3 linked regions of the Mus musculus genome follow. The protein of the gene in region 1 purifies or fractionates together with the protein of each later gene. This does not show direct contact. Links are inferred from orthologs where the notes say so. Each region holds a gene or a part of one and is shown on either strand. Other genes may lie near its edges.

The links.
Region 2: the proteins of Slc39a12 (region 1) and Nat14 purify together in Homo sapiens (co-immunoprecipitation; 3 studies listed by BioGRID and IntAct, counting the BioPlex papers as one, with this or other methods). This does not show direct contact. The link is inferred for Mus musculus from reciprocal best matches to the Homo sapiens genes SLC39A12 and NAT14.
Region 3: the proteins of Slc39a12 (region 1) and Abhd12 purify together in Homo sapiens (co-immunoprecipitation; 3 studies listed by BioGRID and IntAct, counting the BioPlex papers as one, with this or other methods). This does not show direct contact. The link is inferred for Mus musculus from reciprocal best matches to the Homo sapiens genes SLC39A12 and ABHD12.

Annotation. Positions count from the first base shown.
Region 1 is NC_000068.7:14,394,820-14,398,421, forward strand, and holds part of Slc39a12 (zinc transporter ZIP12 precursor), read left to right. Parts: intron 1-1,252; coding exon 1,253-1,534; intron 1,535-3,602. UniProt on the Homo sapiens protein: Uniporter that promotes Zn(2+) import from the extracellular space to the cytoplasm across the cell membrane. The transport activity is temperature dependent. May play a role in neurulation and neurite extension.
Region 2 is NC_000073.6:4,921,063-4,925,387, reverse strand, and holds Nat14 (N-acetyltransferase 14), read right to left. Parts: upstream 2,803-4,325; 5' UTR 2,749-2,802; intron 2,743-2,748; exon of another isoform or gene 2,326-2,742; intron 2,181-2,325; 5' UTR 2,131-2,180; coding exon 2,059-2,130; intron 1,486-2,058; coding exon 937-1,485; 3' UTR 382-936; downstream 1-381. Other genes in the region: Zfp628 (zinc finger protein 628), read right to left, coding at 3,491-4,325. UniProt on the Homo sapiens protein: Probable acetyltransferase. May act as a transcription factor that regulates the expression of coproporphyrinogen oxidase by binding to a promoter regulatory element.
Region 3 is NC_000068.7:150,901,837-150,906,086, forward strand, and holds the start of Abhd12 (lysophosphatidylserine lipase ABHD12), read right to left. Parts: upstream 2,896-4,250; 5' UTR 2,712-2,895; coding exon 2,521-2,711; exon of another isoform or gene 2,230-2,520; intron 1-2,229.

The sequences.
Region 1 (3,602 bases):
GGTATGTTCTGATTCCCTTTGATGTAATCATTTGGCAGTTCTCCTAGGCAAGAATAGCAGAGGCCTGGGGAGGGGCAGTGTCACTGCATCTTTACAAGATGCTCAGTACTTGGTTCTGTGCCACATGCTGATGGTTAGACCTGTCCTGGAAACCTGACCAGATAAACTCTTGTTCTTGGTGGCAGACAAAATACAATGATCAGGTCAACAGAAATTTTATAATGTAGTGCTCTGAAAAAAATGCAATGCTAGAGATGTCTGTCCAACACAGTAGCTATAGCTACAAGTGACTGTTGAATAAATATTTATTGAATAAATAATAAATACCAAGAATATTGATATGTGTGACTTGTGTGACATAAATATCCTGACAAATGTACACTAGATTTCAAAGACTTGACCTACAAAAAGAGCATAAATTATCTCATTAGTCATTCTTAGACTTTTCAATTACATGCTTAAATAATTTTATCTTAAATATGTAAAAAATTTGTAAAGTACTAAAATACATATCACCTGTTTATTTTCACTTTTAAAATGTGGCCATCAAGAAAAATTGAAAGTCATGTGTATTTTGCATGCTATTTTTATAGAACAACATTGTGAGGTACAATATAGATTGAGAGCCTTGGGGAAGGCCTATGTAAAGAGTAACATTTGTTTGTTTGTTTGTTTGTTTGTGACAGGGTTGCTCTGTGTAACCATCCTGGCTGTCCTGGAAGTTGCTTTGTAGATAGGGGTGGCTTCAAACTCAACAGAAATCTTCCTGCCTCTGCCTTCTGAGTGCTGGGATTAAAGTTGTGCACTATCACATCTGGCTAAGAGTGACATTTAAGACCTGAAAAAATGAGAGCAAAAAGGAGGCCTGCAAGACTGTGGAAAGATCTTTATGGGACTTCAAAGAAACAAAACCACAAGATCAGAAGTTTAGAGAGAAAGGATAATATGAGTCAGAAGAGAAAGAATAGAGACAGGTGGAAGATGCAATGTGGAATGGGACATCATTTCAAAAGCCAAGGAATTGGCTGGGTTTATACGAAGGACAAAGCCCCTTTTACAGAAAGCGTCCCCAGGAGGAGATGGTGATCAGACAAAAGTCTCACCATGACTCACTCTCTCATGGTTGTAGCTGCAGGAACTAACTGCTATACCCTGTACTTACAAGGCATAAGAATTTGATACCTTGTGTGGAATAATTCAGTCTTGTATAAAGCTTAACTTTGTCTTCTTTCCTTCTTATCTTCCCCTATAGTGTTTGGAAGCAGATGCACTGTTACTCACAGCTGGGGGAAATTTGGAGGATGAGCTAAGAGAGGAGGTAGTCCAGAGAGTTTCTCTTCTTCTCCTCTACTACATAATTCATCAGGAAGAGATCTGTTCTTCCAAGCTCAACATGAGCAACAGAGAATATGAGTTTTACCTGCACAGCCTACTCGGCCTTAGGCAGGATGAAGACTCCTATTTCCTTTCAGAGAAGGAGACTGATGACATCTTGGCTTTCACCAGGAAGTACTTTGGCACTTCCAGTAGCCAGGTAAGAAGTGAGGAACAGCTGAGCTGTAGGCTTGTTCATAGTTTTGCCACTTACTCCTAGGACATGGATGAACTTCTAAGAGAGATATGTACTTCTGGTTTAACTCTAGGATAGTGACATAATCCAAAAGTTCAAGTGGAAATGGAATGATTAATGGTAGATGACTTTTAGTCAGAAGCTGGGTGGGTAGGCAGGCCAGGTGACAGGACAGCTCTCATCTCCTGAATAACAATGACTCAAAGCTTTTGATCCACATCCAAGAGATGAACTACAGTGGTCAAAAGCCATGTGTCCATTTGTCATGGCTTCTGGTCAAAGAAGAAGGCAGAAACAGTTTAAGAGATGATTTATCATTAGTGATTTCACTGATGAAATCACTTGTAAAAGGATTACTGCTTAGCCTTGTGTGTCCGGGCTCCTTCTCATCTACCCCTAGCCCCAACTCTCAGGTCATGGGTACCTGCTTTCATTACTATTCTAGAAATGCTTGCCTTTCAAGCATACTTTCTGATGCACAATGGGAAGTTTCAGCAAACAAAGGTATCTGAATGCAATGTTTTTGTTATTATTATTATTATTATTATTCTCATTATATGGAGTTGAGGATATGCCTCAGCAGGTGACATGCTGGAAGCATGAGCACAGACACCTGCATTTGGGTCTCTAGTACCTATGTAAAAACCAGGGGTTACAATTACTCCTGCAATCACCAGGTTGGAGGGGAAAAGGCAGTTATTTGGGAATTGTGGTCAGTCAGTCTAGCCAAAATGGCAACCTTCAGGTTTATTGACAGACAGTGTCTCAAAAAATAAAGGTAGAGGATAATTATTAACATTGACTTCTGGCTTCTACATGGTCACACTCAGGACACTTACACATTTACACACATATGCCTATACCACACACACACACACGCACACACACACACACACACACACACAACACACACACACACCATCATCGTTGTCGTCGTCGTCATTATCATCATCGTCGTCATCATTGATACTGGGGATTGAACCCAGGGCTTTATGCTTACTAGGCAAGAACTCTGCCACTGAGCTACACCCTCTGCTTCATAAATCTTGAGTCATAGTCCCAGAAGAGTTCTTTGAGGACCCATACCACAATTTGAAGGGGGTATGAACATTATTTATGAAACAATGGTTGTGAATCTTTATTATCTTTTGAATTATTCATTGATTTGTAAAAAACAAGCTTTGCCGCAGACCCTCTGGGTCCCTTTGTCTGTGTGGAATGGGTCTCTGGTTGCAGGTGGGCAAAGAGTCGGCAAATGACAGACAGACCAACATGCAAGATTGTGTAGAATCTGAATGTAATTTGTCAAATTGAGCATCAAATTTTTTATACAGAAGAAAATAGGAAAGTTAGGAGGAAAAGTCTCTGTTAGCCTGTTCTGTCTCAACAACCAACAAACACCCTTTCTATATATTACAAATGTACTTAATTTCTCTTTTAACTTGGTATACAAGGAAAAACATATTTACTAAGAACCTTGCAAAGATCTTATGGCACCTCCAATCTTGTGAATATTAATCTTTGGCCTAATTGATCCTGTTCCAATGTTAGAAAAAGGTTCCTTGATGGAATTCAATTTTTAGCTTGAACACCTCCTTAAGTGTTCCTAACTGTAACATCTTCATTGTGATTTCTCTATGATGTTAAATTGGCTCGAATTATCTACTAGGATTTTAGACATCCTGTCCCCTTACTGCCTTTTGATGCAGATTAAATAGAAATGAAAATCCAGTACTTAAAGCAAAATGGTGGGTATGAGTGGGTTTCTACTTATGCTGCCCACATAGTCAGTGGTCAGTCTTTGTGGTATTTGTAAGATCAAACATCTATAGAGAATAAAATAACAGGACACAGAAAACTACTTTTTTTCCCCATCGGGTTAACAAGAGTAAACTACTGTCATGCACCTTTCTTTGCTTTAGCACAGTGATCTCCTAAAGATACCAATGTATGTATATGACTTCTGGATGGTTCCTGTAGTCTATTTAACCACAATGACTTAGGTAGTCAGTCAGTCCAGCCTTTGCAGAAG
Region 2 (4,325 bases), on another chromosome or scaffold:
CCCAGTGCCGATTCGAGAAAAGAGTGTCTGAACTTATTACCAGTTCCCAGAACAAAGGTATGGAGGGTAGAGAGACTGAGGGGTCAAGGCTTCGGTCTGGAGGGGGTACACACACACACACACACACACACACACACACACACACACCAGGCAGCTGTGAGGGGGAAAACTTTGGTAATGGGGAGCATGACTCAGAAGGCCTGGCAAAGACTGGCTGCCGCTGTGAGCTCACTGCTTCTCCTCTTCCCAGCGCCCCCCCCCCCCCCCCAACACACACACTTCCCTAGCAATTAATGTCAACTTCTTCGGAGAGGAGGAGCCAGACAGAAGGAGGGAGTCTGGAGAGAGCAGCTGGAAAATGCATCAGACAGGAGACAGGCACACAGAAGTTTCAGGGTTTATTAACAAACAGTGTAAAAAACCAGATGGGCTTGGAGACACTGTGCTCCTGGCCCCACCCACTCCCAGAAGATCTGTCCCCTTTGGGAGTTCCCTGTCACAGACTCTAACTTTTAGTCTCTCTCTCTCTCTCTCTCTCTCTCTCTCTCTCTCTCTCTCTCTCTCTCTCTCTCTCTCTCTCTCTTTCCTCAAATCTCCCTTCCAGACCTCAAACACAGGCAGCAGGGGCTTTGTAGACCCAGAACCCGACGTTTTTCAGTGCATACAGACTGGGGCAGTGGGGGTGAGGCAAAGGACTGGACACGGTGACCTCTAGTGGTCCCAGAAGACCAAGAAGGGATTTGTTCTACTTGAGTTTAGAGTCCTCATTGCAGCTGGCAGGCACACTGGGAATGTAAGTCCATCAACCTCGGTGCTTCACTATCAGCCCAGCAGACTAGGTAGACACTGAGGGGGGGATGTAAAGTGCCTGGCACACAGTAGGTGTTCTTTAGGTGCTGGTTCTCTGCCCATCTATCCAGTGGGCATGGTCTCTAATCACAGGTCTTTGCTGAATTCCCTAACCAGCATATAGCCCATGCAGCCCCAGCCTCCCTCTGCCTGGTAGCCACAGGCCTCCAATAACCCTGCCACCCCCCAAGCGGCTACAGCCACTGGGACCACGAGCCGGGCCCGAGGCTCCCCCATACTTCCAGCCCATGCTCGGGCTCGAGCCTCGGCAAAGGCCAGCAGCCTTCTGCCCACGCCCCTGCGACGGTGCCATCGAGAGACAGAGAGGCGGGTGACTCGGGCTCCATCCCCCACGTTGGCACCAGGGGCCAGAGCCAGGACTCCACACACATCGCCGGAGCCACGGACAGCCACCCAGGGCCCTCCCAGGCCGCCTGGTGGAGGCAGAGAGCCCCATCGGGCTCGCAAACCCAGCTTCACAGCGGCTACAGCCAGAAACACGGGCAGCAGGAGGGCCAGGGCGAAGGAGGCCAGGATGAAGCGCAGTCCGCTGCTGGCTGCAGCCAGGAGGAGAAGGGCTGGAGGTCGTGTCAGAGCGTGGAGGGCCACACGGTTTTCCGTGTCTTTTACACCAGCCTGTGGGTGGGAGTAGAGGCTCAGCCATTCATCACATAAGAACTTCCGAGGAAGGATTTCTCTTCTCAAGTGAGAAGAGAAGCCAGCGGATGGGGTGGTCCCAGTCTGGCCCATTGGGTGTTAAGGGCTGAGCGAATGAATGCGGTTTGCCCGAATGAAATGAACTGATTTAGGACCTGAGGCCCATGAGTCCGGATGGCATGCTAAGGTAACGCACCAAAGGAGACTGAACAGGATAGGCAAAGTGAAGACATGGGCTCTTCGCTGGAAGGTCTGGGGTGTGTGTGTGTCTCAGTAGCCCTCATTTTGGGACTGGTAAGTGGGGCTGAATGGAGGTCAAGAGACCTGAACACCCAGCCCCTACACCCTTTCAATTGCTTTTTTAAAAATGGCAGCTGAGGTTTAAGTAGGGAGAAGGCAGTAGAGAAAAGAGACCAATTAAAAACAGCTGAGGCGAAAATCCCCTCCCCCAGGACCCCCGGAGCTCAGGCAGGTGGGCGGGGCTGATGGAACCCACTTTGAATGGCCCTAAGAAGCTGCGCATGCTCACTGGTGCCCCTGCCGGCCTCTCACCTTCAGCATCTCCAGCACCAGGGGCTTCTCATCTTCCCTCATTTCCCGCACTGACAGGTGGTTAGGGGCCATGGTAGCCCCCAGGCAGGCCCCTCCCCAAGGGAGCTGACGTTGTACACCTGCTGAAAACAAGTAGGTTGGTGTTAGGTGGGCACCTGAGTTCTAAGAGCCCTGGGAGGGATGGGCCGCAGTGTTTCCCAGATCGCCAAGGACCCTAGAGCATTGCCAAAGAAGACTGTCACAGTGGCAGGCCAGGTGCCTCCATACCCAGTGGGGCTCTGAAAATCGTCCCGAATCGTCCCCCACTCCGGAGAAGACATTCATTGATCTGCCTGTAAACTCATCCCCTATCCAAACTCCAGCAGCCGGTCTCCTGAAGTGGTCCCACCCCACATAGCAGAAACAGGGCCCTGAAAGGCACCTCCACGGGGTTGCTCGAATCCCTTGACAGTAAGGGAGAAGGGGGGCAGGGGCAGGAGAGGGTCACCACCGGAAGTGACGTCCACGCTCCCGACTGGAGGCAAGACCGGCACCTTAGCAACTGTTGCCAAGCTTCCCCCACTATGGGGCAGGGGTTGGGAGTAATGGAGGAAACTGCGAGGACGAGGGAAGAGCTGTGACCTGCTGGAGGCCAGTGGGAGAACCTTGGAGAAGGGGGGATGGGAGTGGGGGACAGAGAGGGTTTCTTACCCGGCCTGCCTGGGAGGATTAGCACAGCTCCTTTCTTGCTGGTCCTTCGTTGCTAAGCGACCTGAGCATCAGGAAGAGGAGGCGTTGCTTGTGAACCTAATCTCATTGGCGCTTGGGTCTTTGAGGGAAGGGATGAGGGGTAGCATCAAGCATCCCCATCAGCTGAGACCTTATTCTCAACCCGGAGGCACCTGGGGTATCGTTTGAATTAATAATATTCCTCTACCTACCTTTCAGGTGAGGTAAGGGTGGTTTATAGGAAAGAAGTGGAAAATCCAGAAATTGATCCCTAACCCTCCCTGCTATAAGTACAACTACAGACGAATACATACAAAGGTTGGGAAAGGACCAGAGAAATAGCTCAGGGAGTAAGAGAGCTTGCCAAAAGGAAACCCACATGACTGACTCCCACTGTCTCTCTGTCCTCTGCAAGTGTACCCGCCCTCCCACCCCCAGCACAGTAAAAGCCTTAACAGTTTAAAGGATGGGGGAGCTGGACCCCACCCCGGAGAAGCATTTAGCCCTCCAAGTACAAAGCAAGTCACCTCAGATCCGGGAAGCAAGAATGAAGACTTCCAGGTCTGAAGCAGGGGCTATGCCCATGACTATACCTCCCCCATGAAAACAAAACCAGGAAGAGATTCTGGGTCTTTATTAGCAAGTCCAGCCAGCAGCCCCCCTGACTCTGGGGCTGACCCCAGCCCAGCTGAGGAGAACAGTTAATTGCGGGGAGGGGGTCTCTTCAAAACGTGTGTACCAGTTGGACTGCAGGAAGAGTCTGCACAATCTGGATGGAGGGCAAGTTCTGGGGAGCCATGACCCCTGGTCCAGCCACTGCGGGGACCACTTGTACCATCTGGGACGGGGGAGCTACGGGCACCCCCACAGGGGCAGAGACCGGGCCAGGTGCTGACGGGGCCAGGAGTTGCAGTGTTGTGGTGCCTCCTGCAACGCTGCTATTTTCTAGCAGATCAGTAGCTGGGGCGCTACGAATGATAAGGAGTTTCTGTCCTGATGGGCCAGTGGCCGCTGGCTCCGCCAGACCGGGGGAAAGCGTTTCCACCTCCTGCACGCAGAGCCTAGTCTGCTCACCATCCGCCCCACTCAGCACCAGCACACTCTGCAGCCCCTCATCTGTCTGCAGTGTCTCAAACAGGACGTCCTGGACCACACCAGCACCGGCCTCACTGTCTCCCACTTCCCCGGGCCCAGGGCCGGTCAGCAACTCTTCAGTTGCCCCACTCTGAACCAGCAGCAGGTTTGGAGCTTCTGTAGTGCCAGCTCCTCCATTAGAATTGGAGACTTGGCCTGTCAGGGGCTGGAGCTGGACCGTAGTCACCTCCTGTGCTGGTTGTAGCTGGACTGTAGTCACTTCCTGTGCAGGCTGTAGTTGTACCGTGGCCACTTCCTGTGCTGGCTGAAGCTGGACCCCACTCACTTCCTGTGGTCCTGTCTCCCCACTCCCTACATTCTGCAGAACAATGAGGCTCTGCCCTCCCCCGCTAGCCCCTGCATTGGCCCCTCCTTGCAGCCCCAGACCACCTGGGCCTGGAAACCACACCACCCCTGTCCCCTGT
Region 3 (4,250 bases), about 140 Mb from region 1:
AAAGAGTGTATAGAATTTTTCTAAAGGAAGTACATAGGGAACAAAGAAAAAGAAAAACAGAATTTTAAGATAAAGTAATCAGTAAGGCATTTCTGAGATTTTAGGAAATGGCTGTGCAGACTGGATGTTATACATAGCTGATATATGATACCCCACTATTACATTGTTTCAAATCACTTCTTTTCATTCAAGTAATTCTAAAGTACTTATAAATAAAATCTGCTCAAAAATAGTCTAGTTCCCACCCTGAGGGGAAAAAATGGCGAGAAGAGGAATGATTCTAGATGCTAAACAGTGACAGCTTAAAAGTGTGTGACAGATAGAGGGCCATCAGAAGATTTTATCCACTTGCATGTCGCTACAAGTATCCAAAAAGAAGAGTTAAAAGAAATAAGCAAGGTCCAAATGTCTTAGGAGCAGGCAACCTACACTGACAGAGGTCACGATCAGTACTAATTCTTCAGTGCGGACTTTGGCTTTACCTGCTAGTTATCAACACACCCTCCGGCCAGCAACTCCACTTCTAGGAATTTATTCCGTAGATACTCACTTACTCAACGGGCTTTTTAAATTTTATTTGTTTGCTTGTTTGTTTGTTTGCTATCTCTTGGCATGCCCTGGGAATGCAGAGGTGGAGAGAGCAACCTACTCTCATTGCATTTCCATTCTTGTTGGGGAGGAGACAGGTAAAACAACTCAACAAGTATTCATGCGTTACAAAGTCAGGTAAGTAAGACGGTAAACAGGGCTGCGCTGGGCTGGCCTGAGTGAAGCGCCAGAAAGCCTGGCCAAGGCAACAGGGGAAAACAACTATGGAGTAATGGTCCGGTCCGATCTGGCCTTCCTTCATTATGCTTTATTCCCCCAAAGCCTCTGTTCATTCAGAGGATGTGGGCACCATCTGAATGATTCTCTTTGTACTACAATATCAATCAGGTCCTTTTAATGCAAGGAAGGTGTCAGAGCAGTATTCCTGCTGGCCTCCCAAACATGGCTGTACATAGCAATTTGATTTTTTTTCAACGAAAGAATTTCTAAGTTATCTAAGCTATATGCAAAGCATATGAATAAAAGTGCAATCGAATTATCAAGGGATTTTAAAGAAGGTAAACTTTTCTTAAGACAAAGTAAAGAGTACATAAGTCTTTCAAAAGATTGATCACCTGCTAGTTCATTTTTAATTACATGCTATCCATTTATTTTGTGTGCATGTATGTGAGGTGGTCTGCATGGAGGTCAAAAGCCAACTTATGGGAGACAGTTCTCTCCTTTCACCATTAAGTCACAAGAAGGATAGATCTCAGGTCATTAGGCCTGATGGCAGGAGCCTTCCCCAGATCAGCAATCTCACCCACGCTCTGGTAGTAAATTTTACCTACAAACAGCCAGTTCTGGTCTTTCTGCAAGATGGAGAATCACTGACTTAAAGATCTCGGTAGTTGAAGTTCATGATCTTTTAAGCACAGAGCTTCAAGCTCTGATTTTCTTTCTTGGGTAAATGTTTAACATATACAACAAACGATCAATTGATGCAAAAAGAAATGACTGCTACAACTCCTGACTTAGGAACATTGCAAACTAATATTTCTGGTCATACACTATCAAGGCTTCAAAACTGCCAACAGAGATAATAGTCTACAAACTATCAAATTAAGAAACCAGATAGAGGGAAAGAAACCTATTCCTATATAAAACAGGCTACTCAATTTTGAGATCAGCTTTACATAACTGCCTCTTCTCCATCCTAAAAGAAGGATGCAAGTCTAACTCACCGACCAATCCCAGAAGATTCCAGGACCTTACAGAGTAATTTTCAATGACCAATTCCTGTGCAGATTTCAAGTGCTTTGTAACTAACTACCTGCATAGACAACCACCAGTTCTCTCCAACAGCTGAGAATGGATGCATCCATCCATCCTTTCCTTTGGATTCTGAAAACGGCTTAACCCTTGAAAGGGGGTCGGTGAATGCAGCTCTGACCTGCGATTAGCTAGCGAAGGGAAGGACCAGACAGGAGAGTTGCTACTGAGCTCCATATACGGTCAAGGCAAAGCAGGTGAACTGGCTAAGAGCACTTGCAGGGTCTTTGGTCTTGCCGTTCACCCTGCGTGGTCCTCTTCTTAAGGGCAGCCTTTCAAACTCCTCGGGAGACTCTTTCCAGAGCCAGTCAGGAATACTGGGCCCCTGATTACTATGGACTCAACCACTAAGTATCTCTGCAGGCTAACCTGATAAGGATGCCAGCCAGGGTGCTGGGTGGGTTAGTGAGCAGCTCGTGGAGGGGGTGGGAGGGTGAGATGGGGGTTGAAGGAGAGCTCCAGAGGCAGATGTTTGGAGGAAAGAATGGGGTTGGACGGTCCCTGCGGGCCAGACGAGGGGAGGTAGTCTTTAGAAGGGTCGAAGAGGACGCCGGGAGGATGGAACCGTGTGATGCTCCCGCAGCAGATCTCTGAAGGTGGGAGCCTGGGACTACCTGCCCTCCAGGTGAGGGGCCCGCGCGTGTCTGCACCGCATCTCACCTGCCCAGCGCCCGCTTCATGCCCGCGTCGGATGCGCTGTGCGGCTCTGCCGTCCCCTTGCCCGCCAGACGCAGGTTCTGCTTCAAGCTGCAGTCGGCGTCCAGCGCCGCGGCGGCCGAGCCGGAGGAGGACGAGCCTGAGGCGGCGCAGCGCTCATGCTCCAAGGTGACGGGCTCGGTCCGCTTCCTCATCCCGCGGCCCTGTCGGCAGCAGCTCTCGGCGCCCTGGTTTCGCCCGCCCGCCTGCGCCGACCTCGCTGCAGTCGCCGCCGCTCACAGCCGTCACCACCCGGAGCCGGGAGCCCACTGCGGGTCACATCCCAGCCCCAGGCCGCGGCGCCCGCTATGGACCAGCGCCGGAGGCCGGTCGGCCACCGCGGCCAATCAGCGCACGAGTCCAGGAAGCCCCGCCCCAGACACGCCCCCGGCAGCTCCGCTTCACAAGCAGCGCGCCCAGCATCCCCAGCGCCAGCCACAGCCATCTTGGAGAAGGGCGGAATAAGCTGAAACTGCGGGTCATTTTCAGGGCAGGGCTAGTCTGAAGGGTCTTAGTGCGTTTACGAAACGGATTAGGGCCAGTTTGGATTCTCCTGCTGGGTTGCTTTAGGTGCAACTCAGGTGCCCTCTGCCTACGAACTGAGGCAGGCCCTATCTAAGATCTAAGTGGTCCGAATGGGGAGGGTGCTAGGGAGTCCTTGAGGGCACTAGCTCCGTTTGCTGGGCAAAATAGGCTCTCTCTACTCCCTCTTTAGGGCATTTGGCGCCCCTAAAAAGCTAGAGCCCCAGATGTTCTCTAGATTTGATATACTCAACAAAAAAGCTTTACAGAGAGAGAGAGACTCCAGTAGCTAATGTATTGTTTAAACAAGTTTATATTTACTTTTTTTTTTTTTTTTTTGTCTTTTCGAGTCAGGGTTTCTCTGTGTAGCCCTGGCTGTCCTGGAACTTACTTTGTAGACCAGGCTGGCCTCGAACTGAGAAATCCGCCTGCCTCTGCCTCCCATATATTCACTTTTTCTTTCGCTGAATGTAAGAAAATGAACTGCCTGCGTATGCTTTGAAGTCTTCTATTAAAGTTTGGATCTTCATAAGAACGATTAGGACTGGTAAGAAGGCAAGGAAATCCGTTTCAAAGAGGAATTTGCACTCTGACATCCAAATTTAATAATTCAATCCACCTGAAAAAAAATGAAAGGACACGTTGTAGCTTTTAATAGTTTTTGTTTTGTTTGATATAGCATGCATTTTACTAATGAGTTACTTTTGTAATTTCAACATGCATGTAATCAGTTTGAAAAATATTGGCAACTGATAAAGATTTAATAGGAACTTAGAAATGTAATGGATTATGTTGTTGCCTTTGTAATGATAGTTACAACTTGCAATTCAAGAATTTCTTTACCATTTTTGCTATATTATAACCTATGTTCATACTGTATGAATATCTACAGTCTTTAAAACATCAACAAAATAGTACTATAGATTTGAATATTCAAAAAGGAAATTAAATGCTTAAAGATAGTTTTGACCTATCAGTCATAAAATCTTTATAGAAAAACAAAAGAACAAATAGCCCTGGTAGGACATGCCTGAAGTTATTACAGAAGCTGACATCAGGAGGGTTGCAGATTGGAGGCCAACCCAGGCAATTTAGCGGCTTCTGTCTCAAAATAACACAAATAAAAAGAGCTGAATATAGCTCAGTGATAGCATTTCCTCAGTATACCTGAG